4 linked regions of the Canis lupus familiaris genome follow. The protein of the gene in region 2 interacts with the protein of the main gene of each other region in a biochemical or structural test. Links are inferred from orthologs where the notes say so. Each region holds a gene or a part of one and is shown on either strand. Other genes may lie near its edges.

Region 1 (8,192 bases), on a different chromosome or scaffold from region 2:
TTAACATCAATAGTTCCCAAACTCTTCCAAAATATTGAAGATGGTGAAACACTTCCTAACTCCTCAGTAAGACCAGCATTACCCTAATGCCAAAGCTAGATAAACACATCACAAGAAAATTACAGACCATTATCTATTATGAACATCGATGTAGAAATTCTTAACAAAAACTAGCAAACTAAATCCAACAGAATATTAAGAGGATAATACACCACAACCAAGCAGAATTTATCCTAGAAATGTGAGGTGGTTCAACTTAAGAAAAACAACCAATATAATACATCACATTAATAGAATGAAGGAAACACACACACACACGATATACAATCATCTCAATCGATGCAGAAAAAGCATTTGACAAAATCTAACACCCTTTCATGATCAAAAAATATATATATACTGAGAAAACCAAGAATAGAAAAGAATTTCCTCAACATGATAAAGGGAATTTACGAAAAACCCACAACTAACATCATACTCCATGGTAGAAGACTAAAAGCTTCTAGTCAGGAACAAAACAAGCATGCCTGGTTTCAACTCTGCTACCAAACATTGTACAGGAAATTTAGGCAGAGCAATTAGACAAGAAATAAAAAGCATCCCAATTGGAAAAGAAGTACGATGATCTGTACTCACATAGGATATGACCATATAAATATTATCCTAAAGAATCCACAAGAGAGGATGGCCTGGGTGGCTCAGGTCATGATATCAGGGTCCTGGGATGGAGCCCCATGTTGGGCTCTCTGCTCAGCAAGGAGCCTACTTCTCCCTCTCCCTCTGCCTGCCACTCTGCCTACTTTTGCTCTCTTTCTGTCAAATACATTTTTAAAACTCTCTTAAAAAAAAAAAAAAGAATCCACAAGAAAGCTAGTAAATGAATTCAGCAAAATCACAGGGCACAAGATCATCTCCCAAAAAGAAGTGTGTTTTTATACACCTGCAGGGAATGATCCAAAAATGAAATTAAGGAAGCAATTCCATTTATAGTAGCATCTAAAGGAATAAAATACCTAGGAATAAATTTAACTAAGGAAATGAAAGGACTTATATTTTTGGAACCTACAGAACATCACTGAAAGATAGTTAAAAAGACCTAAATAAATGGAATAAATAAATGGAAATAATAAATAATAAATAAATGGAAAGACATTTCACATTTCTGGGAAGAAGACATAATATATTTTTTAAAGATTTTATTTATTTTTTCATGACAGAGAGAGAGAGAGAGAGAGAGAGAGAGACTGGCAGAGGGAGAAGCAGGCTCCATGCAGGGAGCCCGATGTGGGACTTGATCTGGGTTCTCCAGTATCAGGCCCTGGGCTGAAGGCAGCGCTAAACCGCTAGGTAACCAGGGCTGCCCCAAGAAGACATAATATTGTTTTGTTTTGTTTTGTTTTTTTAAGATTTTATTTATTCATGATAGACAGACAGACAGAGAGAGAGGCAGAGGGAGAAGCAGGCTCCATGCAGGGAGCCCGACGTGGGACTTGATCCCGGGTGTCCAGGATCACGCCCTGGGCCAAAGGCGGGTGCTAAACCGCTGCGCCACCCAGGGATCCCCAAGAAGACATAATATTGTTAAAGATGTCACACCCAAGGTAACCTACAGATTCAATCCACTCCCTCTCAAAATTCCAACAGCCTTCTTTGCAGAATGGTAACATCAATCTTCAAATTCATATGGAATTGCAGAGGCCCTGAAGAGCGAAAACAATCTTGAAAAAGAAGAACAGAGTAGGATGGACTTATGCTTTCTGATTTCAAACTTTACTACAAAGCTACAGTAATCAAAACAATGTGGTACTGACATAAGGATAGACCAAAAAAAATCAGTGGAATAGAATTAGGAGTCCAGAGATAAATCCATTCATCTAAGGCCAACTGATTTTTTTAAAAGATTTTATTTATTAATGAGAGACACAGAAAGATAGGCAGGCTCCCCATGGGGAGCACAGTATGGGACTAGATCCCAGGACCCTGGGATCAAGACCCGAGCTGAAGGCAGATGCTCAACCACTGAGCCACACAGGCGCCCCAAGAGTAATACTTGTACAGATGGTTTCAGGTGAAGGTACCCCCTAGCTGATTTTTTTATAAGGTGCTAACTCCACTCAATGGAGAAAAATAGTCTCTTCGACAGATAGTGCTGGGACAGCTAGATTTCCACATGTAAAAGAATAAAGTTGGACCCCTATCTCATGCACATAGAAACATTAACTCAAAATAGATCAGCAACCTAAATATATGACCTATTACCATAAAAATCTTAGGAGAAAATATGAGGGTAAATCTTCATGAACTCAGAATTCAGCAATGCATTTAGATATGACATGAGAAGAAGAAATAGATAAAACTTTTGTGTATCAAAGGACACCATCAAGAAAGTAAAATGACAACCCATAAGATGGGGGGGATATATTTGAAAGTGGTATTATCTGATAAGGGCTTAATATCCACAATTTATAAAGATTTCCTAAAACTCAACAAAAACAAAGAACCTAACTTTTAGGGACGCCTGGGTGGCTCAGCGATTGAGCGTCTGCCTTCAGCTCTGGGCATGATCCTGGGATCTGGGATCTGGGATTGAGTCCCACATCGGGCTCCTTGCAGGGAGCCCGCTTCTCTCTCTTCCTATGTCTCTGCCTCCGTGTCTCTCATAAATAAACAAATTAAATCTCTAAAAAAAAAAAGAACCTAACTTTTAAAACAATCAAAGGACCTGAATAAGCATTTCTCCAATGAAGATATATACATGAGCAATAAGCACAAGAAAAGAGGGGTGCCTGGGTGGCTCAGTCCCTTAAGAGTCTGCCTTTGGCTCAGGTCATGATCCCAGAGTCCTGGGATAGAGCCCCATATTGAGGCTCACTGATCAGCGGGGAGCCTGCTTCTCCCTCTGCCCCCTGCTAGTGCTCTCTCTTACTATCTCTCTCTCTTTCAAATAAATAAATAAATAAATAAATAAATAAACAAACAAACAAACAAACAAACAAACAAAATCTTTAAAAAACACATACACATGAGAAGATGTTCAGTCACCATCATCAATCGTCAGGGAAATGCAGACCAAACCCACAGTGAGAAAACGCTTCAATCCTAAATGGGAAAGCTATACTAAAAACAAAGTGGTGAGAAGGTGGAATGAAAATAAAACGAGAGAATAACAAGTACTGACAAGTATGTGGAAAATTCGGAAAAAAAAAAAAAAAGAAAAAAGAAAATTCGGCAACTCCTCCTTTGCTGGTGGAATGTAAAATGTTGTAGCTGCTGCAGAATTTACTGAAAAGAACTGAAAATAAGGACTTGGTTATTTGCACACCAATATTCACTGCATCATTACTCACAGTAACCAGCAGGTGGAAACAATCCAAACTTCCATTAGTGTATGAACAGATATTTGGTACATACATACAATGGAACATTACTCAGCCACAAAAAGGAATAAAATTCAGGTGCATGCTACAACATGAATGAACTCTGAAAACATGGTAGGTGGAAGAAGCCAGACACAAAGAGACAAATATTACACGACTCCACTGAGATGAAATACCTAGAGTAGGCAAGTCATGAAGACAGAACACAGATTAGAGGTTAAAAGAGGCTGCAGATAGGATGCCTGGGTGGCTCAGCGGTTTAGCGCCTGCCTTTGGCCCAGGGCGTGATCCTGGACCCCGGGATTGGGTCCCACGTCGGGCTCCCTGCATGGAGCCTCCTTCTCCTTCTGTCTCTCATAAATAAATAAAAATCTTTAAAAAAAAAGGGGGGGGGGGTGCTGCAGAGCGTTGGAATGAGAAGTTATTGCTTAAAGGGTGCAGAGTTTTTGTGGTGATGACCTTTTGGAAACAAACTAGTGATAGCTGCACATCACTGTGAATATAACTCATGCCACTAAATTATACACTTAAAAAAGTATGGAGGGACACCTAGGCGGCTTAATGGTTGAGCCTCTGCCTTCAGCTCAGGTCCTGATCCCGGGGTCCAGGGATCGAGTCCCACGTCAGGCTCCCTGCACGGAGCCTGCTTCTCCCTCTGCCTGTGTCTCTGCCTCTCTCTGTGTGTGTCTCATGGATAAATAAATAGAATCTTTAAAAGAAAAAAAAAAAAAAAAAGGTTGGTATGACTCTATGCTATATGTTACCCCAATAGAAGAATGTTAAAAGAGCCCACAGTCTGCAGACAGACTGGCCAAGAGTGGAAATGTGCCAAGGAGTAGATAGAGCACCCAGTCTGATTGGAAGTCAGGGACTGGGTTTTCCCCCGCGTGCTCACACTCATCCCCACTTCCCCAGGAGCGGGAGTGCTCGGAGCGAGAGCAGATCGCCAGGCAGGCAGGCGGCGGGGCGAAGGGCGCAAGCGCGGAGGCAGGGCACCCGGGAAGCGCGGTCGGCGGCGGGGGGCGCGGGGCGCGGGGCGGGGCGCGGGGCGGCGGGGGGCGCAGGTGCCCGCGGCGCCGGCCGGGCCCTCGCCTACCTCGCGCAGCGCGCGGCTGTACTTGTCCACCAGCTCCTGCAGCATCGTGTTCTTGCGCAGCTGCCGCGGCTCCGCGGCGCTCGCGCGGCAGGTGGGGCAGGAGCGCGGGGGCCCAGCGCAGCCGGCGGCCCACAGGCCCTTGAGGCAGTCGCGGCAGAAGCTGTGGCCGCAGGGCAGCGTGGCGGGCCAGGCGAGCAGCCCGTGACAGATGATGCAGCCCAGGTCGTCCTCGGCCAGCCACACGGGGACGGCCGGGCCGGGGTCCGGGCCCGCCATGGTGACGGGGCGCCCCACGGGACGCCTGGGCGCGGACGGCGCCTCCAGCTCCTCCCTCGGCCTTCCTCTCCCCGCCTCGGCCCAGCCTTTCTTCCTGTCTCCGGCGTCGGGGAGAGCGGCCTTTGCGCTTCCCCTCCCCGCACGCCGCGCCCCAGGGCGGAGCGGGCCGCAGTCACAGCTGCGCGGGATCTCAGCTCGCCCCAGCGCCGGGAGCACCCCGATGTCCCAAGGACCCGCGAGCCTGATGCCCTCCCTCTGCACACAGACCCCGGCCCATTAAAACGCGGTCCCGACAGCCCTCGAGAAGAAAGAGACGGTCCGGTTCCAGAACTTTTCTACGAGACTGCGCCCACTAGCTGTCATCCATCCCCTCCAACAAGTAGTAAAAGATTAAAGAAAACCCGGCGCAGGGCACTTGGGGGGCTCAGTGGTTGAGCCTCAGCCAGAGGGTGAGGTCCTCATCCCAGGGTCCAGCGATCCAGTCCTCATCAGGCTCCCCGGGGGTAGCCTGCTTCCCCCTGTGCCTATGTCTCGGCCTCTCTCTGTGTCTCTCATGAATCAATAAATAAAATCTTAAAAAAAAAAAATTCCCAGTGCACATAGCTCTTTTAAAAGAATGATGCTGGGGCTTCACTCCCAAAGAGTCTGATTTCATCCTCCGGGGTGGATCCCCGCACGGATATTCTTAAAAGCCTCCTCGAGATGATTCTAATATGCGGCCAAAGTTGAAGGACCCCTAGACGTTTCAAACCGACACTACGAAGCAGAACTATGCCACTGTCTCCGTGCTGCTCTCTGCTGGCTGAAAGCACATTACCCAACAGGCAACCGGACAAAAACACTAGGTCTGTTTTCTTGAGGTAGCAAGCCTGGCCTTGGTTGGGCTCGCTCGCTTCCTCCTCTCTCCTTATTCCAGTCCCAGACTCATCACAGCAGGAAAATGTTGGGGCTGGAAGGCCCCAAAGACGCAAAGGAACTTTCAGGTTTACACAGCATCCATTGAGTGGCAGAGACCAGAACCCCCATCTCTCTGATCTGTTGAAATGAACTAACAATATCTCATATTTTATTTCATCCCATCTTGCCTTGCCCCAAAGTAAGTACCAGATAATACAAATTTATGGCTATTTCCAATACTGGAAATGACAAGTAGTAGTCAATAGAACTACCTATTAGGCTACTCAGTGAAGTTTCCAGCTCTTTTCAGCACCTGGTAGGATTGGCACTTCTCTGACCCACTTGAAACATGCAGAATACTTGTCACCTTTCCACCAGCTTAAAAAAGCTAGTAAGTCATTGTATCCCTTTCTGCCAAATGCCCTGACTGTGGAGATGAAGCCATCATCTGGTGGCCTGGTGTCTGAGTGGTGAAGATGAGCAGACCCCCTGGGGACCCACACTGGAACCTGTAGTAAAAGAGAAAAATAAACTTAAGACATGTTAAGCTTATGGAGACTTAATGGGTGCTTGTGGCTACAGCATAATTTAGCCTATCCTGATTGATATGTTACCTGGATTTTGTTCTGAAGTCTCTTCATTGGTGGTAAACCCTATTTCTTCACACCTCTCTTTTCTGGAAATATAGACACAATACTAAAGACACATGCTCAAACTTTCCATCTTGAAAAATAAAATTTCCTTTGATAGAAGCATCCCTCTAGCCACCTCTCCTTCCCTTCTCTATTAGACACCCAAGTTTCTTGAAGGAGTGGATTAACCAGTGGTCTGCAAACTTTTTCTTGGACAATTCCTGAAAGTTTCATGCAAAAACATGCAGTGGTTACCAAAAAGAGGGTAGGGGTGGAAGTAGCCCTAGCTGTAAAAATACATTAACAAGTTCTTCATTTACATTGGAAAATTTCTCTTTGTTTCATCTTTTTGAATTTGTATTGCCATTCCATTTTCTCCAGAGAACTATATTCTTCCATTTCTATTTTTTGGAATAGTTTGAGAAGAAGAGATGTTCACTCTTCTTTAACTATTTGGTAAAATTCACCTGTGAAGTCATTTGATCCTAGTGATATAGGATAGATATTGGGGTTCAGAGCCAACAGCCAAGAAAGAATTCTTAAAACGCCTTCAGTGCAAAAAAGTGTTTTTATTTTTTAAAGATTTTTATTTATTTATTCATGAGATACATAGAGAGAGGATCACAACTTGAGCCAAAGGCAGATGTCCAACCACTGAGCCAGGATCACAACCTGAGCCAAAGGCAGATGTCCAACCACTGAGCCAGCCAGGGGCCCAAAAAAGTGTTTTTATTAAAGCACAGGGACAGGACCTGTGGGCAGAAAGAGCTGCACTGGGGTCATGAGGAGTGGCCCATTATATATCTCCAAGTTGGGAGGGGGTTAGGGAGAGCATAAGTCTCCAAAGAATTTTGGAAGCAAGGTTTCCAGGACTTTGAGGGGGCTAGCTATTGTTAGGAAAAGATCATTTATTACTGTCTGATGGGACGCCTGGGTGGCTCAGCAGTTAAACATCTGCCTTCGGCTCAGGGCGTGATCCCAGAATCCGGATCGAGCCCGAATTGGGCTCCTTGCAGGAAGCCTGCTTCTCCCTCTGCCTGTGACTCTACCTCTCTCTCTCTGTCTCTCATGAATGAATGAATGAATGAATGAATAAATAAATAAATAAATAAATAAACAAATAAATAAATAAATAAAATCTTTATTGCTGTCTAATAAAACCTTAGTCATGAGACCCTCCAGATGTATATTGGCGGATCATATGCTTGGCGGATGATTGCCAACACATATCTTGGGAGGATAAAGATAAAGGAAGTTTCCAAAGTAATTATTTATTTTTTTAAAAGATTTATTTATTTTAGACAGAGGGTGAGCATGAGCAGGAGGGGCAGAGGGAGAGGGAGAGAGAATCTCAGCAGACTCCATGCTGAGCACGGAGTGTGACTTGGCGCTCAATCCCAAAACTGTGAGATCACAACCTGAGCTGAACCCAAGAATTGGACGCTTAATTGACTACATCACTCAGATGCCCCTCAAAGGAATTTTTACATGTTAAAGTAGACTTACAGGATTCTGGAGTTGGGCTAAGATTGCCTTTTGCCCTTAGCAAAGCTCTAACATCGAGGCAGCTGAGTTCCTATAGGACTGTCATTCTGCCTGTTTCAAGGACTTGTCAATGGCCTATAAGTAGTAAAGACGTTTGATTTTTCTTTTGTCTTTGCTTCCCACATCACTGGAGTTTCATTTGTTGGGAGGGTTTTTGTTTTTTTTTTTTTTGTACTGATTCAGTTTCTTTGCTGGTTATGTCTGCTCAAATTTTCTATTTCTTCCTGTTTCAGTTTTGGTAGTTTATATGTTTCTAGGAATTTATCCATTTCTTCTTAGTTGTCCAATTCCACAGAACGATATTCTAAAGCAATCTATTTTATGCATGAAAGTCTTTTATCACTTTGTAATCACTTTTATCAACTTGTA
Region 2 (7,641 bases):
CCACCTGATTTCCACAGCACCATTCACAGGGCGGAGCAAAGAAGAGGCACTCAAAAGATGCTCGTCATGGAGGCTTCTGTATGTGTGCATCTCCTAAGCTACACCTCAGTTGCTCCGTCCAAAAATTGAGCATCTGTTGTGGTCCAGGCTGTGTGTGTGTGCAGGGTGCTGGTGGTAAAAAGATGCAGAAGATAGAAGCCTGTTCTCAAGCGGCTCCAGTCTGTGAGTTACTCTGGGATCAGATCTTCAGGGCTCACTGGGAAAGAGCACAGCATAGTAAAACTCACAACCAAGAGCTATGTTTCCAGGTTAAATTGCTCCTCTCACCCATTCATGTTTAACAGGAGAAACAAAGGAGGTTATTCAAATTGCATTGACATGCTTCTTTCCCAACCCCAACTACAAACAAAGTAGCCAGCAGTAAACTAGATGAATTAACAAGTATTTCTTGAATGTGAATAGGTATGAAAATGACCTAAGCAATCTGGAAATGAACAGTTCACAGGATGTGTACTGGGGAAAAGGTGGAGGTAGGGAGTTAGAAGTGGGAGGAATAAGAAGGTAGAAATTCATATCCCTCTACCCTTCTGCTATCTTCCCAGTTCAGACCATGTTCTAATGTTCGTGAATAAAATAACGACCTCCTAACTGGTCTCCCTACTTTTTGCCTTATTCCCTCTAATCCACTCCACTCAGCAGCTAGAGAGAATTTCTAAATTTGCAGAGGAAACACTTCGCTACCCCACTACTTAAAAGCCTTTAGTGGAATCCTCTGGCCAAAATCCTACCCGGCTCCCAGGACCCTCTGTGATCTAACCTCTGCCTGCTTCTGATTCTCATCTCTAGCTGCTCCACTTCCGGCATCTGTCAGAACTAACAGAAGTCCTCATACTCTCTCCACTTTCCTGGCCTTTGCACATGTTTTTCCTTCCGCCTGAAACACCACCCACCTACCCCTATGCTGTTGCTTTATTATTACTTTAGCTTTATTATTACTTATCTAATTTTGGCTTTACCATTGGACTGGAAATATCACAGGGAAGGAGTTATGTCTCAGTCTCAGGGTCCATGCTATGTTCCCATCACCTGGCATATTGCTCAGCACCAAGTAAATGACAAGTGAATGAATACGTTCAAGGTACTGCTAAATCAAAGGATTCAAGCAGGGAAGGAGTAGAAGGTAAAACTGGAAAGATGAGTAGAACCAGATTGTGCAGGCCGGGGTCACACTGGCAGGTTAGAGGCTTAGAGAGCTTTGCTTAAAAGGCAGAGAGGTTCAAGCAGGATCCTGACATGATAAAACTGGTATTTCAGAAAGACAGGGGCAGCCCAGGTGGCTCAGCGGTTTAGCACTGCCTTCAGCCCAGGGCCTGATCCAGGAGACCAGGAATCAAGTCCCATGTCAGGCTCCCTGCATGGAGCCTGCTTCTCCCTCTGCCTGTGTCTCTGCCTCTCTCTCTCTCTCTCTCTCTCTCTCTCTCTCTCTCTCTCTCTCTCTGTCTCTCATGAATAAATAAATAAAATCTTTAAAAAGAAAGAAAGACCACCCAGGTAATGGGAGGCTGATTGGAAAAGTGAGTGGGGGTAGGGGTGGGTGAAACAGCCAGACAGCTGTTACAGTAAGTCCTAAATCAAGCTTTGGAAGAAGAGGAGAAAAAAAAAAGCAAAATAAATGTGAGTAAAGGTGAATTCACAAATTAAGCATCTCCAACACTGCTCCTAGTTCTGGAACCAGCACTACTCACTGGTATACCTACAAGGGTACATGCCAGAAGCTTGGTGGAGATCACCCCTACTCCCAACTCAGAACCAGAAGCCATGAAATTGGAAAGCTTCCTGCTTGCAACACTTGCTCAGCACATGCCTCCTCCCTCCACCAGCCTGTCTTGACTGCCTCTGTTTGACTCTCTTTGTTCACTGGTATCTTTATCACATCACAAATCAGTTTAAAATCTTTGGATGCTTCCCCCTGCTTTTAGGACAAAGTCAAACCCAGTTTGGCTACCAGGCCTTTCCTGGTCTTGCCCCTGCCTCTCTCTTTAGCGTCACTCCTTTCTACCACTCGTGCATTAGGAGTACCATGAAATGGTTGCAGTTCCTAAAATTTTTTCTTCCTTTAAAGCCTTAATGCCTTTTCAACCTCACTTGGTTATCTTTCCTTCTTAATTTGGCTGACTTTCAAGACTGTTTCAGGCATCATCCCACCCCAAAACGCTTTCCCAAAGGCCCATTCCAGGTCAAAGTTCCCACGTGCTCCCAGGGCACACAGGTGTCCCTCTGCCCTGCCATGTGGAAGCTACTCACATCTGACTCTCATTATTTAGCTGTGAGTTCCCTGAGGATGGGACTATGTCTTTAACCTTGTTATTTCCATTAGCTGGCACAATGAATATCTGGTGAATGAATGAAAGAACAAAAGAGAGAAGAATAGAACTTGGTAACTTCATGAGAGAGTCTCAAAAGAAGAAAGAATCAAAGATCACCACCTATTTCAATCTGAGCCATCAAGGAAATGGTGGTTTCTTTCATATAAAGGGGGAAATCAGAACAGAAAACTAATCTGGAAAATTAAGAAAGCCATGAACTGATTTAAACATGGTATTTTTCGGCTATGTGTATCCACATAGATTTACTGTGGATTTAAAAAGAAAAAAGAAAAAAAAAAACAAGGACTAAAGGAGGACATAATGAGGAGGTTCCCGAATAACCTATAATCAAGAAGTTAACCTCTTGATATGGTCTTAAGACTGTCTGAACTAAAGAGATGCAAAAAGAGAACACTATATGGCTATTCCTAAGTGGAGAGAACATAAAATGAGATTTATCTCACCGAGAGTTATGGTACCGAGTTCATCAAAGATATTCTTTGCCAGACTCTCTGTCTCCCTCATCAGCTGAGAAATGATGCATTTAAATCTGTCAGTAGTCCGTGATTCCACTTTCCTGAAAACTAGAGCCATGAAAACAAAGTGAGCATTTTTTAGGAACACATCATAGTTCAAAGTAGGCATCTGCACACGTTTCTCTGCCTGTTACCTCCTCTGCAAGATCTGAGGCTCACGGGGAGATTGTCTAAAGGATATATCAAATGTTCAGAAACTTGGCAATAGCTCCCTGGTGCTTACTGCACAGATCCTAATATCTCTGTCTTTCATGATCTGGGTCTAATCCAACTTTTTATTCTGCTTTTCCTGTTACTCAACATGGAGCCTCTACTCTGACAAGGCTGGTATCCATCTTATCTCTGCAAATACAACACATTTTAACCCTCTCTTCTTTGATTTTCTCCTTTCCCACTCAACCCCCTGAAGTGCTCACACTTCCTAAAATTCAGTACTATATTATTTTGGCAGAAACTTATTAACTGCCTACCACGTGCCATGTTCTGGAGATCAACAGTTGAAAAGTACACAGCCTGTGCTCACAGAAGACTGTATCCTCAGGGCAGAGAAAGATACATAGCCAAATAATCACAGTGAAGTGCTGTAACATTAAGTATATGAAAGGTGTCATGGAGCACAAGGAAAAGAATCTCTTATTCTTTCAAGGGAGGAAATGTTGTGGGATAAATAGGGGAAGAGGAGTGGAGGAAACACTGATACTCCTGAGGAACCAGAGGTATGCAACATGGTTGGACTTATGGGAGGGGGAGATGAAGCACAGAGGGCAGAAGGGACTTGAGGGGCACCTGGGTGGCTCAGTGGTTGAGCATCTGCCTTTGGCTCAGATTGTGATCCTGGGGTCCTGGGATCGAGTCCTGCAGGCAGGAGCCTGCTTCTCCCTCTGCCTATGTCTCTGCCTCTCTCTCTCTCTCTGTGTCTTCTCATGAATAAATAAATTAAAAATCTTAAAAAAAAAAAAAAAGAAATTTGTACTTGATACTGAAAAGTTTAGATTGGGTACCTTCCTTAACCTCTTTACAGGAAGCTCCCAGAAAGGAACTGAACTGCCTCTCCTTGGCTATTTCATGTGTTTTTGTTCTGCTTTATACAGTCATACACTATCCCCAGAGCAAGGATGAAGGCATATATGTCTACTCTCCCACTTTCCCCTGCTGGGTTAGTATAGCATTGGAATTTATTAAATATTTGCTAGTCAATCTTTTTAAAAAAAATCATATTCTAAAAAAAAATCATATTCTGATCTGCTGAGAAAAAATATGATGAACTAAGAATAATTTCATTTCAACCCAAATCATCAGATACATATTCATTTTTTTAAAGGTTTTTTTATGTATTTATTCATGAGAGACACAGAAAGAGAGAGGCAGAGACACAGGCAGAGGGAGAAGCAGGTTCCATGCAGGGAGCCCAATGTAGGACTCGATCCCAGGACTCCAGGATCACACCCTGGGCCAAAGGCAGGCGCTAAACCGCTGAGCCACCCAGGGATCCCCAGATACATATTCAAATAATGAATGGCCACACAGTATCCTTCCTCCTTAGGAATGCAACACAGGGAAGGACTGAGACCAGCTCTTGGCCATTTATGTGATTTGATTTTCTCATCACGTCTCTCTTGCTGTCAGTATCCTTATAAGAACTTTATCAAAAACAAAAAAAGAACTGAATCAAACTGAAGAGTAAGAATGTTTGCTTTTGACAGTCCACTCCTGAGGTTCACCCACTGATGAAGAGCTCAGCTGAGAAGAGAGGCATGAAATGTAATTATTTCCCAAATTTGGGGTTAAATATTTTCTACTAAACAGAAAAAGTAAAAATTCAGTATTCATTCAAATGGCTCCGAACTAAGAAAAGCAGAGGGTAACAAAGTCCTGAAGGGCTTGTTACTGGATTCCACTTACACTTCTGGGGCTTATAAACAATTTCTTCCAATTCCTCCAAGTTGTCTTTGACTGTTGCTATCACTGATGTGTCAAGAGAAGCACACAGTTTGCAGATATATTCCATGGCTTCCATTGTGTTTTTGGCATCCCCGATGCCAACTGAGGCAGTCAGCCCAACAACCTATGAGGAGCATTACAAATTGTCAGACATCTGGAAAACAGCATGCCATTTCCACAATCCCCCATGCAACCCTTTCCTGCTAAAGTAGGGTTTTGGTTTTTTATTTGTTTGTTTCTTACTAATTTCTTTTTTTTAATATTTTATTTATTTATTTATTCATGAGAGAGGGAGAGGCAGAGACACAGGCAGAGGGAGAAGCAGGCTCCATGCAGGAATCCTGGGGTCCTGGGATCCGGGACCCCAGGATCACATCTTGGGCTGAAGGCAGGTGTTAAACCGCTGAGCAGGGATCCGCCTTACTAGTTTCATATAAAGCACAAGAACACTATTTTTTCCCCTGATGTTCTCTAAGATATTTCAAATGGAAATTCCCCAGGCAAAGCAGTGAATAATGCAGGCAAAGCAGTGAATAAATGCAGGAGTCACAAGTTTTCAAATGAACATGAATTAGCTAAAAAACCAAGAGCAGAAACACTCTCAAGGCAGGACTTTTCTCTATTCCTGTGTCCCCCATGATGTGTAGAACAACATACTATAAGAACAGGGACTAAAATCAGACACAACTTCATTCTAAACTCAACCATGCCACACCGGTGGTGGATCATTGGACAAGTATCTTCAGCTCTCTCTCTTTTTTTTTTTTTTTTGGTGCTAAAACCCGGGATCGAACTTCAGCTCTCTTTAAGGCTGGGAAACAATAGCCATTTAAAATGGTAGGTGTGTGAATTTCATAAGGTAACATTTGTAAAAAAAATTAGCTTAATGGTCACCTAACAATTTATGCCTTACTCAAATAGCCACTCAGTAAATACTGAATAGTTGACTCATTAGCAAGGAATCTAATTAACCAGCATTTTTTTCTAGAAGAAACTGTAAGATATGTGCTTGCTATGGAATTTTGTCTATGGGTACCATACGAATTTCTTCTAACCTATGTTTCCTACACAGGTAGTTATTAGGGCTAGAGAACTTTACCCATTGTGATATTGGTATATTAACTATAAAGTCATGGTTTCCAACTTCATCTGGATCCCCAATATGACCAAGCAATTCTTCTATATATTCCTCTTGATTCTCTCATTTCAAATCCTCTCCATGTACTCTGAGCTCCCTCCCCATTCCCATCCTGATTATTCTCAGCAAAGCATCTACCTCTCATTTAAAAGAGATATTAAATACCAGGGATTCCCTACCTTTCCTGTCCCCAACTCAGAACTACCCTCTCATCTTTACTCTTCTCACACCCTCACCTCTGATGACGCCCAAAATGCTCTCCTGTACTAATGAACATACCTGCCTACTTATCCCATACCCTCTGATCTCTCCTAGAATCTTGTTCTATCGATCATTCCCTCTATTCCACTCTGCCTCACCTACTGCTATTTACCATTTCACATTCCACACTCAAATGATACTGAAGAGCTTCAGGGCTCTTGGGCACAACATGTTCTCTCATACCTCTGTGCCTCCAGACACACAGTAGCCTTTCCTGAAAACCATCCAACTATCCACCTTATACATTCTTGTTAGTTTTTGCCTAACTTCTGTTGGGTCTTGGCTCACTTTCATAGCACACTTACGAGTTTTCACTTCTCTTCTGACTATACCTTGTATCATGTCCATAGTATGCCATCACCATATATTGTGACATAATTCTTACATGTCTGGTTCCCCATGAAACTTAAATTGTTTGAGGTATATGTCTTTTATATATGTAGCCCCAGTGCCTAGCACAGTGGATAACACAAAGGGGCACCTAATGCATATTTGTTAAGTAAATAAATGAATGAACAAGTCAAAACTAATCAATGAGGGACACCTAGGTGGCTCAGCAGTTGAGCGTCTGCCTTTGGCTCAGGGCATGATCCTAGGTCCAGGATCAAGTCCCACATTGGGCTCCTTGCGAGGAACCTCCTTCTCCCTCTGTCCATGTCTTTGCCTATGTCTCTCATGGATAAGTAAATAAAATCTTTAAAAAAATGAAAAAATTAATCAATGAGCTAGATGATATGGACTTAGGACCTGAGAAGACTATCCTCAATGTGGTCAGTAGGGTAAGAAAATAAGATTTAAAAAGGTTATGGCTCTTCTGAGGAATCCATCTGATTCTGGAGATACCTGAGGCAGTGGGTCTGAAGATCCTCCAAGTTTCTGATCTAGATAATTAAACATGATCATATTGTAAGGATGGTGTTTACTGGTGTTGTGACATTCATCAAATATCATCAAAGTAAAGACAGAGAGTGATGGAATAGTCCCATTTCTAAGGCAATTCACAAGAATCTGTGGAGTTAAAACGATGATGTCATTGTTCTCAACGATCTGTTCCACTGAGATATTCTCAGATGTTGCTCCAGAAATACCTGCAACTTTGTACCTGGGGAATGACAGAAATTCACTATTACCAACCATGATGTGAATGAGGAGTCACAAAGACATAAAACACTAAGTCAGAGCATCAACTAATTGAGTTCTTCCTAACTCCAAAAGGAATATATCTGGAGACAAGTGCTTAGCATGGAGCTATAAACATAGTAAATGGTTGATAAATGCAAGCTAGCTATAACTGCTAGTAGAGTATGCTAATTCCTTCAAGTCTTAAGAAAAAGTAGTAGGGGCGCCTTGGTGGCTCAGTCAGTTAAGTGTCTGCCTTCAGCTCAGGTCATGATGAGGT
Region 3 (8,342 bases), on a different chromosome or scaffold from region 2:
TCTTATGTTAAAGAAGAATTCTTTGGGATTGCACAACTCCTGTAGGAATGAAATGGGCAGCAAAATGGCTGAAAGGGGGTCAAAAGGTATGAACTTTCAGTTAAAAATAAATAAATCACAAGGCTCTAATGTACAACATGGTGGCTACAGTTAACACTATATGTATAGTACTGTAGTATATATTTAAAAGTTGCTAAGACAATAGATCTTTTTGTTTTTCCAAGATTTTATTTCTTTTTGATAAAAAGAGAGCACAAGCAGGGGGAGTGGCAGGCAGAGGGAGAGGGAGAAGTAGGCACTGTTGAGCAAGGAGCCAGATGCAGGCCTTGATCCCAGGATCCCAGGACCATGACCTGAACCAAAGGCAGATGCTTAACCAACTGAGCCACCCAGGTGCCCCAAAACAATAGATCTTAAAAAGTTGTAAGAAAAAGCTGTGTAACTATGTACGCTGACAGATGTTAACTAGACTCTTCATGGTGTTTGTTTTCCAATTTATATAAAGATTGAATCATTATGTTGAACACCTGAAACTAACATATGTCAATTACACCTTAATAAAAAATTTAAAATATATTTAAATATTTAAATAATTTTTAAAATGTAAATATAATAAAATATATTAAATGTTAAAAAAAAAGTGAAAGCACTGATGTATATTTCTGGGTCAGTTTAAAACTCATCAGGAAACTCTCAGAGAACCACTAATTTGATGCAGGCTGTACCATTCATACTTGACCACAAATGGAAAGTTTTAATTCACTTACCTGAAAGCACTTCAGAATTATCCTCAACAGTTCCATTTTCAAAATTAGGCAAATTCTGTGATTTGGAACTATTTAACCCAACTCAGTTCGATGAAGATGTAGCTCTTTGTGCCTTCTAGCATGCTCCAGTCTGTACCTCCTAGTTCTGTTAGATCTATTCTCCACTTCTTGATTCTTTTAGATAACTCCCTTAGCTCTGGCTCTGACCTTTCCCCAAACCCGTTCTCCCAGTACCTTTGGGATATTTCCCTTTGGATATCTCCCTATCAGACTACTGTATACTTGACAAGCCCCATTACAAGTTCACTACATTACCTCTGGAGCTGAACTCTGCCCCCCTTTATCTCTGTCACCTGTTAGGGAGTTGCCTTCCACCCTTTCTCCCCCCTTTATCTGTCATACGCAACTGGTCAACAAATTTCTTTAAAAATACTTATTTTAAATATAAATCAGATTCTGATTCCCTTTCAGTTTCATTCACACAGCTTCAACTTATCTACTCCTCACCCCCATAACAGAAGATAAGGCAGAGGTGGGAAGCCTTTCCCCCAAAAGCTGTTTTAACAACTGATACAGACGTATGAGCAATGTCGATTTGAAATGACAGCACATTAAAATAGAATATCTTAAATTAAAGGCCACCAAAGGAAAAAGAACTCAGCTAAAAGGAAGATAATCTGCGACATCTTAGAAATGTCATAGATCTATCTTTTGTGGCCCAGTTTTATTCCAAAAGAAATACAGATAAGAAATAATACCCATTCCTGGGTTTTTGCTTTGTGGAATGTCTTTAAGGGAGATAGAAATTAAGTGTTGAGGCTTTATGATGGGCCACTTTTACATTTTTAAAATACTCATAAAAATTCCATTATTCACCCTATTGTACAAATGAAGAAGCAGTCAAAGAGATAGCCCCATGGTGGTCACACAACCAGTCAGTGGCAGGGCTGAATTTCAAATACTGCTCTCTCTCAGTCCCACTGTTTCTACAATTTATAGAGTGCTATATACATACTCATTCAATGTATTTTTGTCATTATTAAGTACTTGATTGACTCGAAATAGGTTTATGAGCAGAAATCAGCATAAACCAACGAGTTCAACAAGTTTGGAAATTAGCTTCAATAGGAGATAACATACAGAGATTTCATTTGCATTTCTCCATTTTCCAATTTAGGGTCAATGGAGGAGAGTAAATTTATTTAGGAAGTACACAAATGGTGTTAACAGCACTCACCATTCCCAGTGGAGAAGGAACTCTAGTTAACATTTATAAAGTGGAAGGGGCCCAAGTAAATTTGCCAAAAGGAGGAATATGGAAATTCTGCCCACAGCCAGAACAATGGACATAGATTTGTCAAAACAAAGAACAGTAAAGTGAGGGAAGGCAATTCATCCAGCCCTTGTGCTACTTCATGACTATTTTTTCCAGTTGCTGGTTTCCTATTCAAACTCTAACAAAGAAAAAGATTAAACAAAAGATTTAACTTTTTACACATTTACATTATCCTTTAGCAGAAGCAAAAACACTACAAACAGTAAGTTATGGCATTCAAAATCCAAACCAGGTGGGATCCCTGGGTGGCTCAGTGATTTAGCGCCTCCCTTGGGCCCGGGCGTGATCCTGGAGTCTGGGATCCAGTTCCACTTCGAGTCCCACACTGGGCTCCTTGCATGGAGCCTGCTTCTCCCTCTGCCTGTGTCTCTGCCTCTCTCTGTGTCTCTCGTGAATAAATAAGTAAAATATTTTTAAAAAATCCAAACCAGGGAAAACAATCCTCAATCAGATAACAACCTCCAATATCAAAGTCATCCAATTCAGTTCTACAGAAGGAACTTTCAAGACTCGATGCCCGCTGCGCATTCCTGGTGCAACTTTAAAGTTTTAATGCACAGCCTAAATTTACCCATAGCTACCCGGGGATGATTACTGTCCCAACTAATCAATATATTATACTGTTACACGATGCTATCTCGGCTTCCATCTTGGCCTTGGGATTTCATATCATGAGCTACATCTGGACAGCTGGGAAACAACATCAGTAATCAGTCTGGAGGCCAATTAGGCTTGAGTTTAAAGTACAACGCTGAAACAACAGGCCTTGAAAACACAGCCACAAAATAATGCCCAGGGCACTCTTTATTTAAACACTATGTGGGCTGCATTTTTCCTTCTTGGCTCACCACCGAGGTTTTCATGGTGCTTCTCAGTCACTAGTCTATAGGTGTCAAGAACCATCTAAGTCTTTTTGAAAACATTTTGTGCACTTGCATTTATAATATGGGTTTTTCCCCCCTTGCTAAGCCAGAAGCACTTACTAGCCATTGCGGTATTGCCCTGGCGCTTCATCAAACTCTAGTCAGCCAAAGAAGACATTAAGTGGGCTTCCGTTCTCACTCTGTGCAACTCCCCGCACCCCACCCACCCCCAACAGGCACACACTCACTCACACACCCAGGCAGCCACGGAAAGCAAGCTTCTGCGGAAACAGAACACGAAACCACAGGTCCAACTCCCATCACTAGTGGCCCCAGCACACATTAAGGACGGGCCAATTTTATATAGGGATTTTGTTTTCAAACTCTTTTTAGAAACGACTAATTTTTATCTCTGCTTTCCATCGATTTTAGGGAAGCGCCGCGTGAGGCAGGGAGTCTGCAAACTCCTGTCACTCTGTGGTTAGATTTTAAAGGGCTACACTCAAGGGCCTGGCGCTAAGGTTCTCAGGTCCCGGCCCCACCCCGACAGGCACTTAAAGTCTAAGGGCTACGAGGTCACTCCGCCTGTTGAGCTGATCTTTGAAGGGCCTGAGTGTGTGCATTAGGATGGGGAGGGGGAGGTGGAGGTGGAAGGACAGTTTGCACGGATCTTTGTTTGCTCAAGAGGCTGCCCCAGTGGGCGTCCTGGAACACGTGCAGGGCCAGCAAAACAAAACCGACCTGCGGGGCGGCGGGGGGTGGGGAGGGGGCAGCACCTCCCGATTGATTGAGCTCGGCGGGGTGATTGCTCTGCAGAAGCCCACTGCCCTGTGTCCAAGCGGGTGCCGGCCGTCCAGCCAAGGGCACCCTCCCCAGCTGACGGCCCCGGCCCCCGGCGGCTCCTGCGCCTGGGCACCCGGTCTGGGGCTCCGCACCTGGGCTTGGGGCAAGCAGCGCCTCGGGGCCTGGCGGGGAGGCGCCGCGGCGCCCGCCTGTTTCTGTTTTCGCCTCCTGCATGCCTGTGTCACCTTCCGACAGGTCGCCTTCCCCGCGGCCCGGGCTCGCCGGGTCCGGGTGTGTCCCCCGCAGGAGCTCCGTTCCCACGCGCGGGCTCCCCCGGCCTCGCCCTCCCCAGAAGCGGGCGCGCAAGCCGAGCTCCCCCCGCACTCACACGTGGCCGCAGCGGGTCCGGACGGGCTGGTGCAGCACCTCGAGGCACACGGAGCAGTCGAAGGACGTGACGGGCAGCTCGGGGTCCCCGCTGCGCTCCAGGGCCCGGGGGGCGGCCGAGGCGGGGGCGGCTTTGGCGCTGTCGCTGCTCAGCACGGAGCCCATCGCGGCGCCTCTCGCCCAGACAGCGGCCGGCAGCTCCGCGCCCGCGGCCGGGTTGTTTTGCTGTCCTGCGGCAGAGGAAGGAAGTCCCGGCCCAGCGGCGACCGCCGCCTCCCCGCGCGCCCGGCGACAGCAGCCCGGCGGCGGCCGCGGCCCGGCGCCCCACCTCCGTCCAGGGCCGACGAGCGCGCGGCCGCGGCCGACACAAGGAGGCGGGGGCGGCCGCACGGTGCGCGCTGCCACGGCCCGGCTCCTGCGAGGGCTGAAACCTGAAACCTCCCCCGCAGGGCCCGGAGCGGCGGGGCGGCCGGCGGGCTGTCGCGCGCGTCCGTACCGCGTTCTGGCGAGCTCCGGAGAGGGTGGAGCCGGCCCCGCCGGCCGCGACGCAGGGGCCCCGCGGGAGGTGATGCTCGCGTCCGCCCTGCGCGGCTGCGACCCCAGCGCGCCCCGGCCGCGGGCTGGCACCGAGCGGCTCCCGAGACCGCGCCCCCCTGCGCTCGGGCCGCAGTCGGCGCCCCACGGGGGGAGGGCTAGCACGCGGCGTGCAAAAGGTTCTGAGACCCGGGTTCGGATCCCAACTCACGACGATAAGGGTTCTAGTGCTATAAATTCTACTGCCTCAGTTTCCTGGGCGCAGGGTGTCCCGCTGTTGCCCCTACTCCCTGCCCCTCCCTCTTTTAGCCATGACCAAATACATCATTTAATGAGCCATACCTGGGCGCCTGGGAGGCCCAGTCGGTTAAGCATCTGCCTTCTGCTTGGCCATGATCTCCGGGTCCTCGGATCAAGCCCCACCGCGGACTCCCTGCTGCTTCTCTCTCTGCCTCCTCTGCCCTTTCCCCTCTGCTTGTGCACTCTCTCTCTCTCTCTCTCTCTCTCTCTCAAATAATAAATAAAATATTATTTTTAAAAAAGCCACACATTTAATAAGACTTCTTTAGTGCCCACTGCATAGCAGACTTTGTTCTGGTGATGGGAACACAATTCTGACCAGGAGACAAAATCCCCGTTCCCACAGAACTTATTTTAAAAAAACAAAACCAAAAATGTTGACTTTGGTTGAGATAATTACAGATTCACATGCTTATCATTTTCTTAATATCTTTTTTTTTAAGATTTCATTCATTTATTCATAAGACACACACAGAGAGAGAGAGGCAGAGACACAGGCAGAGGGAGAAGCAGGCTCCAGGCAGGGAGCCCGACGTGGGACTCGATCCCCGGTCTCTCCAGGATCAGGCCCTGGGCTGAAGGCGGCGCAAAACCGCTGAGCAACCAGGGCTGCCCCAACATGCTTATCATTTATTTATAAATAACACCTAGTAATATATGATCCACACAACCCATCACACAACAATACATGTAATACATAGTAATCCCATAAACTTAACCCAGTTTCCCCCCGACTTTGCTTTTAATAAGAAGATGTAAGTAATCAACGAGTAAATGAGCAAGATCATTTCAGATGATAAGAACCATGGAAAAGGCAAGACAGGGACTGACCATAGGAGTGGGGAGGGTAAGAGGGTCCGAGAAGACTTTTGGGATGAGGCAACATCTGAGCAGTCATAAATAATGAAAGGGAGTCAGCCATTCAAAGATGCAGGAAAAAGCTTGCTAAGCACTGGGACCAGTGAGTGTGCAAGGAACAAAGAACAGAAAGAGACTCTCTTTGGAGACAGAACAAGGGGAACCAGCAGGGTAGCACAGGGTGCCTTAAATAGGAGAAGGGCCTGATTCTATTTGATCTCATAGGCCAGTTTGGATTTTACTTCAAAACCATGATTTCATGTATTATGACTGTTCACTGTTTTCAAAAAGACAAGAACAAAAGAGGAATGGAAGCAGAGAAACCACTTGGAGAGGACTGAGCCCAAGTGAGGATGACGGCTCAAACCAAGGAGTTATCTGGGTCGAAGGTGAGATGGACAGATTTGGGATACATTTAAGAGAAAGACCCAAAGGGGCTTTTGCAAATGAATTGGATATAGAGGTGAAGGAAAGATAGCCATCTCTATCTTTAAAGATTTTATTTACTTATTTGAGAGAGAAGGAAAGTGCATGTGTGAGTGGGGGACGGCGGTGCCCCTGTTTTTCTTTTAAAGATAGGGATGGTGGGAGCCTAGGTGGCTCAGTCGGTCAAGCGTCCAACTCTTGGTGTTGGCTCAGGTCATGATCTCAGGCTCATGAGTCCAAGCCCTGCATTGGGCTTCATGCTGGGCATGGAGCCTGCTTAAGATTCTCTTCCCTCTGCCCCTCCCCCCACACTCACATGTGCACATGTTCACATGCGGTCTCTTGCTCTATAAAATAAATAAATAAAATCCTTAAAAAAAGAAAACAAAAAACAAACTCAGCTCCTGCCCATGTCCTCTTAAAGGCCAGATTTCTTGACCTGCTTCTCTGCCATCTATGTCTCCGTTTCTTAATTATGCTCTCTTTATCCAGTCCAACCTGGGTTCTGAATTGACCAATCCACTTCCATCTGACTAAAAGTTGCTTCATCACCCCTGTTTATCAGTGACCTTCATGTGGCTAAATCCGATAGAATCTTTTTAAGTCTTTTTCTTCCTTGACCTCTCAACTGCATTTGTTGGTATTGAGCACTCCCTCCTTGTAAAAATTCTTTGGCATTCCCTCTTTCTTTCTGGCAATTCTTCTCTGTCTCCTTCACTGGCCTCTTCTTCGTTATGGAGAAGCTAAGTTCTGGAGGTCCTAGGATTCTGTCTTAGGACATTTTCTCATCCCTTGTTCCCTCCCTAAAAATCTGAAAACTTATATAGATTCTGTTACCATCTTGATTCCAAAGACTTCTAAGTCTTTATCTCTACTCTGGGCCACTCAAATGCCCAACTGCTTACTTGACATAACCACCTGGTTGCTTCAGGCACCTTCATTTCAACATTATAGTTGAATGTTATAGTAATCTCCCACCTGTTCTACTTCCTCCAGGTGTTTATCCTACTCTTAGTAAATGGCGCTACAGTCTAGCTGGTAGCTCAATCCAGATGCCTGGAAGCCATCTTGATTTCTTCCCCTTCCTTATTCACATTGAATTGAAAACAATCATAATCACAATTCTGCCTCCAGTGTATTTTCAGTAATTCTTGGATAGATTCATTTTTCTCTATTCCAATGGTCACCACATATTTTAAACCATTACATTCTTTCTGTGACTTGTAATAGTTTCTATCTGCTATACTTGCTTCCACTCTTGCTATTGTCCAATCTATTATCAACACTGTAAATCTTTTGAAAAGCAAAATTCACCCCATGCTTAAAGCTTTTAATGGATCCCCATAACCCTTAGAATTAAATTCCAGATCTTTGATATGATCTACAATGTCTTGTGTGATCCTTCTCTTTCAATACATATAATCAGTTAGGATGCCTTCGGTCATAGGGAAGTTCAATTAAATCTGCCTTAATCATAAGGATATTTATTATCGGGGCACCTGGGTGGCTCAGTTGGTTCAGCTCAACTGGCGACACAGCTGACAGGACCAGTCATGCCCATACGGAATATCTATAAGAAAGAGACGGCCAGAGTCATCACAGAGGAGAAGAACTTCAAGGCGTGTTCACTAGCCTCCACATGACCCGTGCCAATGTCTGGCTCTCTGGCATCCGGGGAAAAAAGGGCCAAGGAAGCTGCAGAACAGGAAAAATAAAGTGCCATTGGAAAAAAAAAAAAAAAGTCATGATCCTGAGGTCTTGGGATTGAATCCCACTTTGGGGTCCCTGCTTCTCCTGTTTGCTCTGCTGCTCCCCCGCTCTCTGGCTTGCTCTCTGTCAAATAAATAAACAAAATTAAAAAAAAGTATATTTATTATCTAATAAGCGAATTAGTCCAATTTTAGTATATGTGCTGCCGAAGCGAGCACGCGAATTAGTCCAGAAGTGAGCACGTCCAGAGTTGATTCAGTAGTTCAGTGATATCCTCAAGTGTCCAGCCTCTTGCCATCCCATGTGTCAGCACTGTCTTCCTTTGTGGCAAGAACAGCTGCAACAATCACATCTATATAAAACAATCTCCAAGACCAG
Region 4 (7,641 bases), on a different chromosome or scaffold from region 2:
GCCACAGTTGAGGCCCAGCACTGGAGTCTCCCCTCCACACGGCTGTATTTTTCCAACTTCCCTCAATAGGATCACCGAGGAAATGAGAGGACCACACAGCCTTCTGTGCTGGTCCCCTGCAGCTTGATCTTGCAGCACTGGCCCGGCGCCCAGGAATTTGTATTTTTAACCAGTATTCAGGTGAGAGGGAAGCAGACACAGAGCAGCAGCCAAGAAAGGCGGGCTGCCTTGGCTGCTTTTGTGTTCCTCTGTTTCGCTTTCGCTCTCGTGATGAGGAAAATTTAAACACGCTGTGGAGAGGCAGGCCCCAGAAGAGCCAGTGAGGGTGAAGAGGTGGGGATGGGAGGCCTAACTCAGAGCCTGAGTCCAGACAGAACAGGAGTAGCTGGCCTTGGAGTGGGTGCAGGAGGGGGCAGGTGGAGATGCAGGAGAGATGGCAGTAACAAGGGGAGGAGGGGCCCCTCTTCTCTATGAAGTGAGGGTGGGTGGGGGACAGGGAGAAGACTGGTTATGGCAAGTGGGAAGGTTCTGGAATGGCAGAGGAGTCAGGAGAAAACTGGAACCAAAGTACCGGCAGTGGGCCCCCAGCAATGCCTGAGGCACAGCAGGGGGACCCCAGAGAAAGCGGGGAGCTGGGTTCACGCAGGGCTAGGGGTTCAGAGCACTGTCTGTGGAATCTGTGCTGGCGAGAAGCTGGGGAGGGGGGAGGCAGGTGCTGGTGGGACGGAGCCAGTCAGGCTGCGGCAGAGTGTAGGATAGGCCAGTCGCCAGCAAGAAGGAGGGGGACCAAGCTGGACCTCCCGGCGGAGGCGAGGGCAAAGCCATGCACAGAGCCACCCAGAGCCTGAGAGCCAACAGCATCACACCTCAGAGCCAACACTACTCACACTCCAGGAGCTCGGGCCTGGACTTGAGTAAGAAGTTCTCCAGCACCTTGGCTTTGAGGGACACGACGTTTTGCTGCTCGGAGGTGGCTTTGGCTCCAGCTGGGTGAGGACACAGACAGCCATTTTCAGAACAAAGTCAGCGTGGGCACCCCGCACTGCCCCTTGCCCGCAATAACTCACTCTCCGGGCTTGCTTGTTTGAGGTCCAGTAACTGCTCTGGGGCTCCGAAGGTGGGCATCTTGACAGACGAGGCTGAGCCAGAGGCAGTGGCTGCGGATGAGGAAGAGAAACATGTCACTGAGGGATTAGATGGCCTGTCCTCCCTTCCACACTCATCTTCAAGAGCTACTTCCACAAACACACCTGGACAGCTGGCATGATACAGGTGAGCCCACCCAGGGCAACATTCACTATTCATCTCGCTCACATGTACTTGAGCTCACCCCCAACCTCAGGCCTCATCCCCACCCTGCCCCAAAGGAACGTAATCCCAGAACTCAGGCTCCATCCCGGAGCCCCAATGCCAGAGGACAGCCTTCGCGGCCTGCCAGCACTTAGCTCCACACGTGAGCAATTTCCAGAAACAAAAAGATGCACAGGTACATAACCTACCAGGTTTCTTGGTTTTCTTTTCTTCTTCTGAAAAAGAAAATTTTCAGAATGAAGATCTTTGCAAGCACAGCCCAATGACACCTTCAAAATCCCATGAGAACCATTTGCATGAATGTGATCCACACAGATACTTTCACTGGGAATATATTTCACTAGGATATTTTCATTGGATGCAAGCACACAAATCTATGATGACAGAAACATGCATCAGTGGTTTTGGGGGTTGGGACCGATAATGAGGAGCATGAAGGAATTTTCTGGGGTAATTCTCTAACTTGATTTGGGTAAGGTGACACACACATACACGTCTGTCAAAATTAACTGTGCTCTAATTAAATTATACCTCTGTAAAATAAAAATACAAAAGAAAACATACACCCAAAAAAGAAAAAAAGATGGAAAAAGGAGTCAGCAAAGAAAGGTGCTTGCCGAGTATCACAAGAGTCTTTAAAAACTGTCTGGAGAGGGACGCCTGGGTGGCTCGGTGGTTGAGCACCTGCCTTCAGCCCCAGGCACGATCCTGGAGTCCCGGGATCAAGTCCCACATCGGGCTCCCTACATGGAGCCTGCTTCTCCCTCTGCCTGTGTCTCTGCCTCTCTCTCTGTGTCTCTCATGAATAAGTAAATAAAATCTTTAAAATAAAAAAAAAAAACTATCTGGAGTAATCACCTATGAAAACTGAATTTTTTTTTAATTTTCTTTTTTCTTTTTTTTAATTTTACTCACTTATGATAGTCATACAGAGAGAGAGAGAGGCAGAGACACAGGCAGAGGGAGAAGCAGGCTCCATGCACCGGGAGCCCGATGTGGGATTTGATCCTGGGTCTCGAGGATCGTGCCCTGGGCCAAAGGCAGGCGCCAAACCGCTGTGCCACCCAGGGATCCCGAAAACTGAATTTAGCTAAAGCAAAGACTCTCAAAGAGTGCCCCTCCCCGCCCCCAGCAGCATCAGCACTGCTGGGGAATTGTAGGAAATGCAAACTCTTGGATCCCACCCATGACCCTGATGAATCTGAAAGTCTGCGGGTGGGGCCAAAGCGATCTGTGTTTTACAAGCCCCTGGTGAGTCTGAGACATATTCGAGTCTACTGGAGCTAGAGGATTTCGGGTTCCTTCTGTCACCTTCCCCACCCCTAGAATGAAAAGGGGTGTTTTGGCTCTTATCCCTGCCTGCCTGCAGGGTACTTCACGTGGTGGACATGCCCGGCTCTCTTCTATCATCCTCCACCTCCCTGCCAGCCCCCATTCAGCCCCATGTGACCCCCTGTGTCCCCCTTCCTCCCACTCCTGAGTCCTGTTTCCAGACGCTGTCTTCACACTGGCCCCATTTCCCTCTCTCCCGCCCACTCCCGCAGGACTGGCATCTCTGGAGGGCCCCCTCCCAGGTCATCGCAGTTGCTCCAAGTCCCGTCTATACTGTGACTGGTCCACTCCTTCCCTGCCCATTGCCCCATGGCAGCCCGTGGCCAGGATCCACAGCTCACTCCTGCCAGAGCGGCGCTGTGATCTGGGGCAGCAGCAAGAAATTCTGCCGGGGGCGGGGGTGGTGCTCTGAGAAGGACACAGGTACACAGCATTGGTTCTGCTATTTTTCCTTTTCCCTTGGTCACGCCAAGTGTCCTTCCACATCTGCCCGCTGAGCTGGGGGCTCCCCACTCCACCCACACCCGGCACCCGGGGCCCTGGCTCTATTCTGTTCTAATAGCACGTGCCTTCTCACCATGGCAGTGATATGCCCCCAAGCGGGCCAAAATGGATTTTTGGTAGAAGGTGAAAAAAATCTTATTCTTTATATGTATAAAAGCATAGTCTATAAATAGACATACTGCATATGCACGGTATTAAAATTTCATGGGGCAATTAGGGCCAAAACTTGGGTGTTGGCAAATATTTCTCAAGACAAGTGGGCTTTGGTAACCTTGCTGGCCCAGGCCACCTGCAGAGCCAGTGCTGATGGGCCAGTCCTGCTGAGCACCCCAGGGGAGCTCTCACCACAGCCCCTCCAGCTCCTGTTCAGTGGCCCGTGGCCAGATGCATCTCCAGAGGCACTTGCCCCCCTCCCCCAGCAATTTGGGCCAGGCTGGTGGGAGCAGCCATGCCTGTGAGGGTCTCGGCTGGAGCCCCGGCTGGCCACAGCCGTGCTGCGCCCCAGGAACAGCAGCAGAGTTACTTACTCGGGAGCTTTTTCGCAAAATGTATGGGTTTGTGCGTGGATGCTGAGCCATGCTCTCCAGGGTTCCCTGTGCCAAAGAAGAAGGCATTAGTTTATGCAGCTCCTCTGAAGGCACCCTCCGGGCCAGCTTGGCTAGGGCCGGGAGAAGAGAGGCTTTACAAAGGCAATTTCCAGTGACTTTCCCCATCCAATCATTTACAAGAGCTAGAAACAAGGTGACACGAAGACAAGTTTGTTGTGTCCTTCTCTGGCTTAAAATATAGCGGGGGTCAAGTGTTTTCTCTGCCAGTGCCCCACTCCATGACCTCTGAAGCCTCTCTGAGGTTCAATTTCTTCCAATGTCAACAGGGATGAGCCCCCTGCTTGTGGCAATGAGGCCAATAAGCCTGGTATGCAGTGCTAGTTCCTCCCCCTCCAGTTTTTCCATCAACCCTCCTCCCCCAGACTAGCAATCACTGATGTAGCAGGAAAATAAATATGCATGGCCAACTCATCCACAGTTTTACCCTCTATACAGAGTGTGCCACACCTGTCTCAGAGGCCCTTCTGCAAGGACACTCAGCTAGCCAAGCTGAAATGCAAGCCCACCCCCAGGGTTATCCACTAAGATTAACTGTGTGCAAGGCTCAGTGCCTGGCATAGGGGAGAGAGTATTGGATGAAAAACAGACTGAGCCCCGCCCTCACAGAAACTGCAATCTAGTGGGGGAAGAACAAAATGACAGAAAAGCAAACGCTGCCAAAGGAAGATAAGGATCCTGGGACCTAGTCTGAGGAGTGGGAGTGGTGGTGACAGGGAAGGTTTGCTGAGAAATACAATGTTTCACCCAATCTCTGAAAAGTGAGAGGAGTGAACTGGTGAGGATGGTGGAGTCTGAGCCTTCTAGGCAGTGGGAAGGGCATGTACAAAGGCCCTGTGGTAGGAAGTTTAGCATATGTGAGGAACTCAATGCAGAGACATGTGTGGGACAAGGGGGCACTTCAGGACTGGTGAAGTGGACAGGGCCTGACCAGGCAGGGTCCTGTAGAACACTGTCAAGAGCGTGGTCTGAAATCTAAAAGCAATGGAAACTCTCTTAACAGGGTGAGGGAAGAAAGTCCCAGGAGATCAGATTTGCATCCTAAAAAGCTCTCTGGCTGCAACAGGCCTGGATACGGAAGGATTATTTAGAAAGCTGCCACAGGTGGTGGCAAGAGAAAGCAGGCAGGTGGTAGCTGGCACTGAGGACTGAGTGGACTGAGTCAGGAGATATTTAAGAAGTAAAATCTTAAATAAAATCTTTAAAAAAAAAAAAAAAAAAAAGAGCAGCCCGGGTGGCCCAGCAGTTTAGTGCTGACTTCAGCCCAGGGCGTGATCCTGGAGAACCGGGATCAAGTCCCACGTCGGGCTCCCTGTATGGAGCCTGCTTCTCCCTCTGCCTGTGTCTCTGCCTCTCTCTCTGTGTCTCATGAATAAATAAATAAAATCTTTAGGGAAAAAAAAAAAAAAAAAGCCATCTGAGCAAGCCTCAAGATCACAGACAAAAAGAGCCTGTCCAGAAAGTCCCATTGTTAGCATCAAGGCCCCCAGAAATGTTTTAGGCAGGATGGCTACAACCCAGGATGTTTCCCCACCACCTCCCAGATGGAGGGAGGGGGCAGATGTCTCAGGACCCCTGAAATTCAAGCCCTTGTGCTCTGAATCAAGACCCTCTCCCCAACACCAAAACACTGAGGGGACCCAACCCATTTCAGGGGTCCCAGGAGGGGAGCATGGTGGTTGCTAATGGTTACCTGAGCTGGTGGGTTCCTCAGCCTTCTGGTCCTGGGACTGCCTGATATAGTGTTTCAGCCTCTCTTTGAGATTTGAGGTGCCCTGACAGATACCCTTTATCAGCTCCTGATTCAGGTCCACTTTGGGGACGTAGACTGGCTTTGTTGAGATTCCTTGCAGTTTTTTCGCTTTCTGAAACAAGCCAAGGAGTTAGTTCAGGCAGCTCCAAGGAAGCCAGGGCCCGAGCTCCGGCTTTATGAACATCACCAGAAGCTTCCCTATGCCCACATGTGCTCAGTCCAATCAGCCTTCTCAAATTACAGGCCAGAGGTTGCTGGGGGCTAATGTGTCACTTTTGGTCACAGCTCTCTGGATGGGGACAGGCCCTCAGAGACCAGTCACCTACCATGAGAGACACTAAAGTCCACAAACAACAAGTGTCCAAAAAAAAAAAAAAAAAGAAAAGAAAAGAAAAAGAAAAAAAAAAGAAAGAAAGAAAAGAAAAAGGAAATAACAAGCATCCTGCCAGGAACTCTGCCAATTAGTGGCAGGGACAAAGTTGGGACACAATCTGCTGAGCCCCATTGATAATGTTCCCCCCCTCCTCCAGCTGTGGCGGGCCAAGTAAGGAGGTGCAGGACCATGTCCGGCCCTTAAGGACCAGCTCTGAACACACGTTCTAAAACTGGACAGGGATGCCTTAGGGGGCCCAGGTTGGGCCAGGGCATATGCAGGGAAAAGGAAGGAATGTACCGAAGGTCCCAAACCTTGAGATAAAGTTGGGTCATACAACATGAAGAGGCTCTAGAGAGGGACTCAGAATCATTCTCAAAGAGCTGCAGGCAGCCACTCCAACAAACAGGAAGGAATACGGAGATGAAAATCAGTGGTGCCCAGCCCAGGCAGGGAGAAGAGGAGGTTCCCAGTCACTCCTGTACTCTCCCCAGGACCTAAACAAGGAATCTGGTCCTCTGAGGCTTTGTCACCCCATCGATGGGGCTCACCAGAACATGCGCTGCGTGCCAGGAGAAGGGGGCAGTGATGAGGGATGGGCTTCCCGAAGGAGCAGGCGGTCTGAACAGACATGACTACAAGCACATCTAAAAGCACGCCACCCAGTGCTAGGGCAGAGGCAGCGTGACCTGCTCCATCACCAGTAATGGCAGGATAACAAGATCTGAGGAAGATGGGGGGAAGCTGGGGTGGCCCTGTAAAAAAAAAACAGGATATACTAGGCAGAGGAAGTCGCCCTGGAGTTCCCCTCCAAAGCCCAGTGTGTCTGGGGAACGATGAATGCTGTGCGGTGCTTATAGCACAGAGCATGGGCTGGGGGCGGGTGGCAAGAGAGGAGGCTGCTGGCAAAGACAGGGTCTGGTCACTGAGGGCCTTTAGAAAGAGACCTCCAGGGTCCATGGGGAGGAGGGGCGGAGGCATATGCAGTAGGCAGCGCTCTAAGATGGCCCCCAAGATGCCCACCTGGCCTGGGGGTACATACCCCGTATAATCTGCTCCCCCCTCCCCATGCCCTGGAGTATGGGTGGGACAGTGAATACCGCAGGATATCACTCCTGTGGTTCAGTTACCAAGCATGGGAAAACTGAATGAATACTGCAGATGTAAAGAAGATCCCCAATCTGTTGGTTTTGAGTTCATCAGAAAGGTGAGTATCCTGGGTGGGCCTGATTTCACCAGGTCAGAGCCATTAAAAGGGATCAGGCTTATAAGAAAGAATGGAATCTTGCCGGGACGGGACGCCTGGGTGGCTCAGCCTTCAGATCAGGGTGTGATCCCGGAATCCAAGATCAAGTCCTGCATCAGGCTCCCCGCAGGGAGCCTGGTTCTCTCTCTGCCTGTGTCTCTGCCTCTCTCTCTCTGTGTGTCTCTTATGAATGAATAAATATTTTTTTAAAAAAAGAATGGAATCTTGCCATTTACGACGACATGGATGGAGCTAAAGAGTATCATGCTCAGCAAAATAAGTCAGAAAAAGACAAACACCATGATTTCTGTCATATGTGGCAATTTAAGAAACAAAAGAAGCAAAGGGTAAAGAATAGAGAGAGACACACACAAAGCCAAGAAACAGATTCTTAACTCTAGGAACTGGTGCTTACTGGAGGGGAGGGGGGTGCGGGGTTGGGGGAACAGGGGATGGGGGTTGGGAGTACACTTATCATGATGGGCACTGAGTAATGTAGAGAATTGTTGAATCTGAA

The links.
Region 1: of the proteins of DDX58 (region 2) and RNF135, one has a biochemical effect on the other in vitro, tested with the Homo sapiens proteins (6 studies listed by BioGRID, with this or other methods). The link is inferred for Canis lupus familiaris from reciprocal best matches to the Homo sapiens genes RIGI and RNF135.
Region 3: of the proteins of DDX58 (region 2) and RNF125, one has a biochemical effect on the other in vitro, tested with the Homo sapiens proteins (3 studies listed by BioGRID and IntAct, with this or other methods). The link is inferred for Canis lupus familiaris from reciprocal best matches to the Homo sapiens genes RIGI and RNF125.
Region 4: of the proteins of DDX58 (region 2) and TRIM25, one has a biochemical effect on the other in vitro, tested with the Homo sapiens proteins (5 studies listed by BioGRID, with this or other methods). The link is inferred for Canis lupus familiaris from reciprocal best matches to the Homo sapiens genes RIGI and TRIM25.

What each region holds. Positions count from the first base shown.
Region 1 is NC_049230.1:40,775,363-40,783,554, forward strand, and holds the start of RNF135 (E3 ubiquitin-protein ligase RNF135), read right to left. Parts: upstream 5,279-8,192; 5' UTR 4,750-5,278; coding exon 4,474-4,749; intron 1,683-4,473; exon of another isoform or gene 1,668-1,682; coding exon of another isoform or gene 1,611-1,667; intron 1-1,610.
Region 2 is NC_049232.1:50,009,659-50,017,299, forward strand, and holds part of DDX58 (antiviral innate immune response receptor RIG-I), read right to left. Parts: intron 7,345-7,641; coding exon 7,086-7,344; intron 4,968-7,085; coding exon 4,805-4,967; intron 2,951-4,804; coding exon 2,831-2,950; intron 1-2,830.
Region 3 is NC_049228.1:57,577,097-57,585,438, forward strand, and holds the start of RNF125 (E3 ubiquitin-protein ligase RNF125), read right to left. Parts: upstream 4,410-8,342; 5' UTR 4,302-4,409; coding exon 4,138-4,301; intron 1-4,137. UniProt on the Homo sapiens protein: E3 ubiquitin-protein ligase that mediates ubiquitination and subsequent proteasomal degradation of target proteins, such as RIGI, MAVS/IPS1, IFIH1/MDA5, JAK1 and p53/TP53.
Region 4 is NC_049230.1:31,669,865-31,677,505, forward strand, and holds part of TRIM25 (E3 ubiquitin/ISG15 ligase TRIM25), read right to left. Parts: intron 5,618-7,641; coding exon 5,446-5,617; intron 3,741-5,445; coding exon 3,675-3,740; intron 1,527-3,674; coding exon 1,500-1,526; intron 1,158-1,499; coding exon 1,068-1,157; intron 987-1,067; coding exon 888-986; intron 1-887.